2 linked regions of the Rattus norvegicus genome follow. The protein of the gene in region 1 interacts with the protein of each later gene in a biochemical or structural test. Links are inferred from orthologs where the notes say so. Each region holds a gene or a part of one and is shown on either strand. Other genes may lie near its edges.

Region 1 (3,814 bases):
GGAGCTGTTGACATTTGGTAAGAGGTTGTTCCTTGCTGAAGCATAAAGGTGTTGGGCTGGACATTGCGAGATACGAAGCATCCTTGATCTGTACAGGACAGGTATCAGTGTCACTCCTTCCTTAATTATTATTAAAAATATGTCCACATATTGACATGGATGCCCTAAGGAACAAAATCTCTACCATCACCACTGATAACCATTGGATTGAATCCAATTTTGGAAAGAGAAGGATAAGATTTCCCTGCCACTCATCATTAGTGTTAAAATATTTGTATTCATTTCTGTTTTTATTAAGAGAAGCACAAAGACCATTTAAAAGTATTCTGTTGTTCAGAAAAAAAGAAAGGCGTGGTTTAGAAGTAATAAAAGAACAAAGATTCCAGTAAGTACAGAGACAAGGAGCCTTAAATCTCTGTGCCTATAAAATGAGAAACAACCTGAGTACACACTAGAGCTGATATAAAGTAGAGAAACTTGTCTGACCTCAATACAAATCACCATCCATGTAGGGAGTTCTTTGGTCATGGTATCCTATTTTCAGTCATTTTTATAAGGCTTCACCCCATAAACATTTTTTGAAAGATATAACCAAGTTCAATACACTCTTGGCCACATTCTCTTTCTTAGTTTCAATGGAAAATGTCCGCTATCACCTCGCTGTGAGCACCCAGCTTCATAAAAATAGAAAGATACCATGGGTCAATACTTTTACACTTCCTAGGGCTGGGGAAATGGCTCAGATGGAGAACTGCTTGCTACACAAGCGGGAAGACTGAATTCAATTCCAGAGCCCAAGCAATGATGCTGAATGTGCTGGTTAATACTTATAATCCCGGTACTAGGAGATGGACCCAGGCTTCCTGGAGTTCACTGGAGCTCACTGGGGCTCACTGGCCTGCCAGCCTTAGCTTACTTTATGAGCTTCAGGACTATGAAATACCTTCTCAAATGAAGCAAGGTAACTGGCTCTTGATATCCTTATGTAATATCCTCTGTCCTCCATGCACACGTGCACTCATATACATCCCACACTCATATATATGGAGAGAGATAGAGATAGAGAGAAAGAGAGAGAGACAGAGACAGAGACAGACAGAGACAGAGACAGACAGAGACAGACAGAGACAGAGACAGACAGAGACAGAGACAGAGAAACAGGCAGACACACACACACACACACACACACACACACACACACACATATGTTTTATAGTTTTTGTTCTCATTTCCCCAAAATCGATGTCTGTTAAGTAGTTTGACTTGATTTTTTTTCAGGCTTGGTGGCCTAGTCTTATGATAATTAACAACTACCAATATTAGTTCATTCTTTTATCTATTATATACCCATATGTGTGTGCACGTGTGCATGTGTATGTGCGTGTGCGCATGCATGCGTGTGGGGTGTGTGTGGGGGGGTGGGGGGGGGTGTGGGGGTGTGGGTGTGTGTGCGCGCGCATGTGCACGCTTCCTACTATAGCATTTCCAGCCAATAAAGTGGTTGGCTTAAATTTTGGGCGTTTTTGACAAGATTTCGGGTGAATGAATGGTGAAAAATCATCACTACACAGAAGATAATATCTCTTGTTATAGATAGAAGGGGAATTGGAAAGTCATACGTGAGTGAAGAAATTTTTCCAGTCTTTACTGTTTAATGGTGATTATTCATACCTTGTTGAAAATTCACCTTTGATAAACATTCCTTATGCATTCAATATAAGACAGGTACAGATTCTAATTAAATTCCTCATTTTTAAATGACACGAAAGCCTCCATTTTTGAAGTCTCTATAAAGATCCATTTTGTCTAGATATTTGTAGTTCATCAAACTCCATAGATTCTCAGAGTTGCATTAACAAAACCAGAATGTTCATAGAAAACTCAAACCACTTCACTGTGATTGGAGTTCAGAAAGTTCATTCACCCTGAAACTCTGAAAAGGGTAGAAGAAACTTGAGATGGGAGGTGTGCAAGGTTGCTTAAAAGATTTGCAAAGATCTCAGGCAGCCCCACAAATTCTGTGTGCAAGTGAGTCTCCTATGTCATTAGAGAATTTACACTCAACACTCCTTTGTCTCTAATCACAGTCAGAAAGTGTCCCTTACCTATTGTAACCTTTCAGTGAGCATACATTTCCAGAGAGTAATATCTCACTTATTGAATGGACTGAACCATGTGTCTATACTCATGCACCTACCTCAACATCTTTCATCACACACACACACACACACACACACACACACACACACACACACACACACACACATTCACACTTCTCTTCCAGAAGCAGCAATAAGATTTGAATCTTGGTGTTACATTTCAGTTCATTATCCCAAAACACAGGATATAGTAATATATTGCCTTCCTGCTGAAGAGTCTTTCTCATACCCCATCTCCCTAGCAATAAAAGCATCCTTTGCGGGTGGAGGTGCAACTCAGTTGGTATTGAACCCAGAGCACTGGATTCTACCCCAGCACTGCATATACTGGGCATGGTGCCACACACCAGTAATTCCAACATTCCAGAGGTGAAGGCAAGAGGATCAGAAGTTCATGGTCATCCTCAGCTAACTAGGAAATTTGAAGATAGACTAAGATACATGAAACAGTGTCTTAAAACATAAAATAATTTGGTTCACACAGTGACAAATTGTCTTGTACCTTTATTTCCACAATAGAAAGAGTCCCACACAATGAAGCCCACATTTGAATTTTCTTTTCTTTCCTCAGCTCTCTGCACTACAAGCTAAGGTCCACTATCTCAAGTTCCTCAGTGACCTGCGACTATACGGGGGCCGTGTGTTCAAGGCAACATTAGTGGTAATTGCATTTTCTTTCTTTCTGTCTGGAGCCAGAGGCTGGCCAAACATCACAGCACAGCACAGGCTGTCTTCAAGGAGTTGCCCTGGATGATAAACATAAAGAAGCTAGGAATCTTTCCTTGTTTTCAATACTAACCAACTTCACCACAGTCTGGAGATACCTTGAGAAATGTTCGATCTAAGTAGCATTGCTGTAGAAGCCCTGGGGGAAAAATGGAATCAAAGGACTCTTAACAATGGTGCCTTTTCAATCACTGAGATAGAAAAGGGAGGGGGACACTTCTCACTTCTAAAAGCTTTTGATGTGCATAAATATATTGTATAATGACTACATTTACTTTCTATGTTATTCATCATTTATGGGCAACCCTATATACTCATATCTGAGTCCACCTAATTGGATGATTTAATGCAATATAACCCAGAAAAACTTTCCAAAGAATACATCATGATCTTAGGAAAAGAGTCACTCAGTCTGAGATTTAGATGATGCTTCAAAAGTCCTGAACCTTGAAATACTCTGTCATTCTCTTTCCTTAGCAGGCAGAGAAGCGCTCAGAAGTGACTCTTCTGGTGGGTCCCCGGTATGGCATAAGCCATGTCATAAACACCAAAACCAACCTGGTGGCTCTTTTAGCTGACTTCAGCCATGTCAACAGGATTGAAATGTTTACTGAAGAGGAGAGTTTGGTGAGGGTGGAGTTGCATGTGCTCGATGTGAAGGTGAGCCTTTCGCATGGTGACCCATGGCACTGCCTTCAGCAGTTCATTTCTGATAGCTCTGATAGTACTCATCATGCATGAAAGAGTTAATGTGTGCATGGCCTCACAGATGCCATTTGGTTAAAAAAAGTAAATAATAAATCCATACAACTCCTATCTAGGTGTTCTAGTCCTCATTAGATTGCTGTCTCATTTGGGGACAGGTTATTATATTTCTTTAGGCACAGTTTCTCCATCGGTGCACAAAAACAGCAAGTTATATCATTCTC
Region 2 (4,599 bases), about 40 Mb from region 1:
AAGGTAGGACAGGACTGGGGTAGACAAAATTCCCCATGACAGAGAACCTGATGACCCATAGACAGTAGAAGCAGAATTTGTGATCTTTAGCACACAGTAGCCATGGGAATACAGGCCAGTGAGGGGTTCAAAAAAACACAGGTTGTTTTCAGCAACAAATAGACATTGCCTTCCAGACAGGACATACTTGTGGCCATTGTTCAAGTGGAAATTTGATTCTTCACAGACATGTACACCTGCTCCCTCCTTCCCATAATCATTTTCAAGACTGAAGGAACCTCCTTGTCTCTCTCACCAGGTGTCCCAGCACTGGTCCAAATTCCTCTGGCTGTGTTATACCTTTCTTAAGTTTTGGCCCCAGAAGAGAGCAGCTGGAAACCCAGGGTGAAGGCTCTTCTAACACATTCTGCTCTGCTTCCCCCTTCCCACCTTCATTCTCTGCGGCACTGGCTTCAAGAGTGCTGACTAGCCATGCCTCCCCTATCTCCTCCTTTATGTTCTGTGGTCTTAAGGAGGCAGTGAGTAGGACTTCAGCTGCAGCCTCACCCTGGTCCCAGGAGAAAAATCATTGGTTCTTCAGAGACCCCCAAACCAATACAGCCAACTGAAGTATAATACAACCAATTCAGAGCAAAAAAGAGCCCATGCAGCTCTTTCATGTACCTAGGGTACCATGGGTGCTCCACATGTGACAAGCCGTGCTTCAAGCTTAGTTTGGGTGGTACCTAGAGGTTCCAGCTCCCAGTAATCCACCTTCTAGCTCTAGTCCCACTTCCACTCAGGGACCTTGCCTCTAGGGTCAGGAGCCATCCAAAGATCAGCCTGGGTAAAGATAGGGTACCCAACGGGCCCAGCCCTGGAATTAGCACCTATTTCCCACTGGGCAGGCCAAGTATGAGAGTGTGTTTGTAAGGGAGGGGCAAAAAAGAGGAGACTCACTGGAGAGGGCAAGGAACCAAGACTAGGGACATAGGAAGAGGTATAGACAAACAGACATTCAGAAAGGAGGATTCCTATGTCCAAGAATCCCCCTCTTTTGCTTCTAGGTAAAAAGCACATCCTATTCTCTGAAGAGGACAGGGGTGGCCAGAATGGTCACCAGCTTGGGGCAGTCAGCACCAGCCACAGAGAGCAAAGCCTCTCCTCCTCTCTTTCCACCCTGGGGGCTGCAGAACTGAAGAACTAGACAGGCCCTCCGCCATGCGTGCCAGAGACCTGGCTCTGCTGGCCCAGCCTCCATTTTGCTGCTTCTCCCACAGACGCTCCTTCCATTTTCTAAGCTGGCAGTTCAGGCTGGGAGTGGAAGCCGGAGTTGTGCCCAGCACCCAGGGGCTCCCAAGCTGTGCCAAATCAGAGCTGGGAAGCTAAGCTCTCTCACATCTGTGTGTACCTATAAGGGCCATGCCCTACTCAGGGCAGACCCTGCATGAGGGCAGCTACCCTTTGCCTAGTTCCAGGCAATATGCCTGCTTTGGAGCAAGAAGGCTTGTTTAACACCCCCTACCCCCCCCCCCCGCAACACACACACTTCAGAACAGCCTGGACAAAAGAGTCTGTCCTTCTCAGCAGCCTCTCAGCCTTGCTTGGGACGTGTCTTGCCCCCCCCCCACCTTTGCCTGTCAAGCGCTTCTCATCAGGGACAACACACACACACACACACACACACACACACACACACGTGTACACTCTTGCAGCCACATGCTCACACACATATACATGGAGACACCCTCAGGCAAACACAGCTATCCCTGCAGCCTCATCTACAGAGACACCTCCACATTCAGAGACATCCTCACATATCCATGTGCACGTTCACACACAAAGGGACTGCGATGGAGAGGGACTCATGGTATGGAGAGATGAAGCTTGGCCATCTGGGCACATGGGCTCTGCTACATACATTCACACAAGCTCCATTGCTTTATTCCACACACCCCAACATACATACAAACACATATGTCCCCCCCACGCAGAGCACCATGCCCCCTCCTCCCCTCCTATGGAGACACACACCACATACAACCCCCGCAGAACCTCCCGCCCCCTGCCAGACACAGAGACACTGCCACCCCCCGCCCTGCACTGAGACAAACCCAAATCCCCCACACTAGAAAATGTGCCCCTCCGCCATACCATCACCCCCTGATACAAACAGCTCCTCCCAATCCCCTCCAAATGGAGACCCCCTAAACAGACACACATAGAAGAAACATGTATTTTCAATAGTCTCTCTTTGGTCAGCTGCAGTGCTAAGGCTCAGATCCATAGACTTGGAACCCCAGCAACCTCTATTGCTCCCCAGACTTCCTAGACCCCAATTCCTAGTCCTTTGGGTTGTCCCACCAGCCTCCCCTCCTCCTCATCCGCCGGTCCTTACCTGCTCATACCAGTCCCGATTGGTACAGGTGCACTCGGGCCACCAGCTGGGGCCACTGCCGTTGAGTTTTGGGGTGTTCTTGCCGGGTACTGGCTTAGGGGGCACTGGCCCCACATCTCGGCCTGTGGGGATGAGCTTGGCCTTGGTGCGAGGGGTGGGGGTAGCCCCTGCCTGTGAAGGCAGGGTCTGCGAGCTGTAGCCTCCATAACCGGAGCTGGCCCCATTGCCCCCACTTGGCCCATAGGGGTCCGGCACCTGCCAGTCCCCATAGCCAGGAGGCTCGAGGCGCCGCAGGGCGGCCAGGCGGGTCACCTCATAGCACTCGGGGCACTTACAGCAGTGCTGGTGCTTGTGCATGGCACTGCCCCCCGCGGCTCGGACCCCCCAGCCCACGCCAGTTTCCACGCCGCCGCCGCCGCTGGGCTCCCTAGCACACTCGCACTGCTCAGACCAAGAAGGGGGGGGCACCCGTGGGGGTGCCCGGGCGGAGCGGGGCCTGGGGCCCGGCGGGCGTCCCGGGGCCTCTGCCCCCACGCTGCCCCGCACCCATGGCTCCCCCTCCAGCACTGGCGGCTCCGTGTCGCCCGTTGTGGCTTCTGGGCCGAGGCCCAGCGGCAAAGAAGAATCGGGCTCCCAGGCAAGGGTTAGGTGCGGCGAGAACCTCTTCTGCTCAGGTCCCCAGGATGGATCTGAGTGGAGTCAAGAGCATCTCTCCCTGGCTCCCTTCTCAATTGATTCCAGCCAATCAGAACGCAGAGTCAGGCAGCGGCAGCGGCAGCAGCAGGAATGCTAAACAGCGGCTCCTTAAAGAAACAGAAGCAGAGGCGCCCCCCGGCTCAGACACATCTCCCCTGTTCTCTGGGGTTACTGGCGATCCTAGTATAGGTTGCTGAGATTTGGGCCATTAGAAAGCTGAAGAGGATGATCCTGCGATCCTGTGTCCTTGTGTTGTCAATTTCAGGCTGTCCTCTGGCCACTCCACCCCGCCCCGCTTGCAAGAGGGAGTTGCAGTGAGATGCTCAATGGGTCCCTAAGCTTGCTCTAAGCTAGGGCCACCAGAAGTAAAGGCAGCAACAGAACCGACCAAAGGGGCATCTGGGCAGGGTGCGAGAAGTGCTGCCTCCTGCAGGGGACCAAGGAAAAGGACAGCATCCAGGTCTGTGAGCGGCTCTTGATCAGGACCTTTGTTCTCTCATTCCCTAGGCCCTGACAGAAATGACTATCTTTCACAGTCGACCTTTCTTACATCACCAGCGAGAGACTTAACCTCAGAAGCGGCAATAGGAGAAAACTACTTACGCCTGCCTCTGACACTTCTGCCTCCACTCCATGGTTATGTTAGGGAAAAGAGACTTGAAATGTTAAGAAGAAAGGGAGTTCAGGTACAAGGAAGTGGTAAGAAAAGATCTGAAGTGAAAGAAGCCAATTCTGTGGGTCTGGTAAAGCACCCAAGAATACCTATTGAAGGAGGTCTGCTTAGCTTCCCCTGGCTCTCGCTGTTGGAAGGGAGGGCAAAGATAATCATAAGAATCTTTTTTTTTTTTTTTTTGGAGACAGAGTGATCATCCTGCCTCAACAACTTGAATGGTGGTATTACAAATGTCACCCAGGCTAGCTTTTTGTGGCTATCCTTGTTTTATCTTTAGCAGACCATGACTGAATCATTACGAAGTCTGAAGTGCAAACAAAAATGTCTGTCAAGGCAGGATTAAAGGTACCTCCATTCTACCAACAACAACTGGAAGCTCAGTGCTGCTAACACAGCTAGGTAGCATAACCGAAAGACGAAAGTTCTTGCCAATTGACTCAAATCCATGCTCCCAGTTCTCCTGCAAATTTCAGGTCTCCATTTAATCTTACAAACATTTATTGAGCACTTAACCTGTGTAAGGCCATTACATGGGTGTTGTGAATAGAGACTTAGGCTTAATTCCACAGATGTTCATGCGAAACACTGTTCTAGACTGTAGTAATAGAACAGTAAGACACAACAAACAGAACAAGTCCCTGACATTGGGGAGCGTACATCCTAACGAGAGGATGTAGACAAACGTGAGCGAGTGCAACGAAGAAAAGATAATCATAGAGTTAGGATAACTGGCCACGATTGTCAACTTAAGTAGAATTAGAATCACCTAGAAGATACACGCTGGGCATATCTGTGAGGGCATTTCCAGGGCAGATGAACGGACCCTCAATAGGAGTGGTATCTTCCAATGCAT

Evidence for each region.
Region 2: the proteins of Frmpd4 (region 1) and Dlg3 interact in a test that uses a peptide from one of them, tested with the Homo sapiens proteins (2 studies listed by IntAct, with this or other methods). The link is inferred for Rattus norvegicus from reciprocal best matches to the Homo sapiens genes FRMPD4 and DLG3.

What each region holds. Positions count from the first base shown.
Region 1 is NC_086039.1:30,365,485-30,369,298, forward strand, and holds part of Frmpd4 (FERM and PDZ domain-containing protein 4), read left to right. Parts: intron 1-2,730; coding exon 2,731-2,820; intron 2,821-3,362; coding exon 3,363-3,545; intron 3,546-3,814. UniProt on the Homo sapiens protein: Positive regulator of dendritic spine morphogenesis and density. Required for the maintenance of excitatory synaptic transmission. Binds phosphatidylinositol 4,5-bisphosphate.
Region 2 is NC_086039.1:69,898,483-69,903,081, reverse strand, and holds the start of Dlg3 (disks large homolog 3), read right to left. Parts: upstream 3,080-4,599; 5' UTR 2,735-3,079; coding exon 2,378-2,734; intron 1-2,377. UniProt on the Homo sapiens protein: Required for learning most likely through its role in synaptic plasticity following NMDA receptor signaling.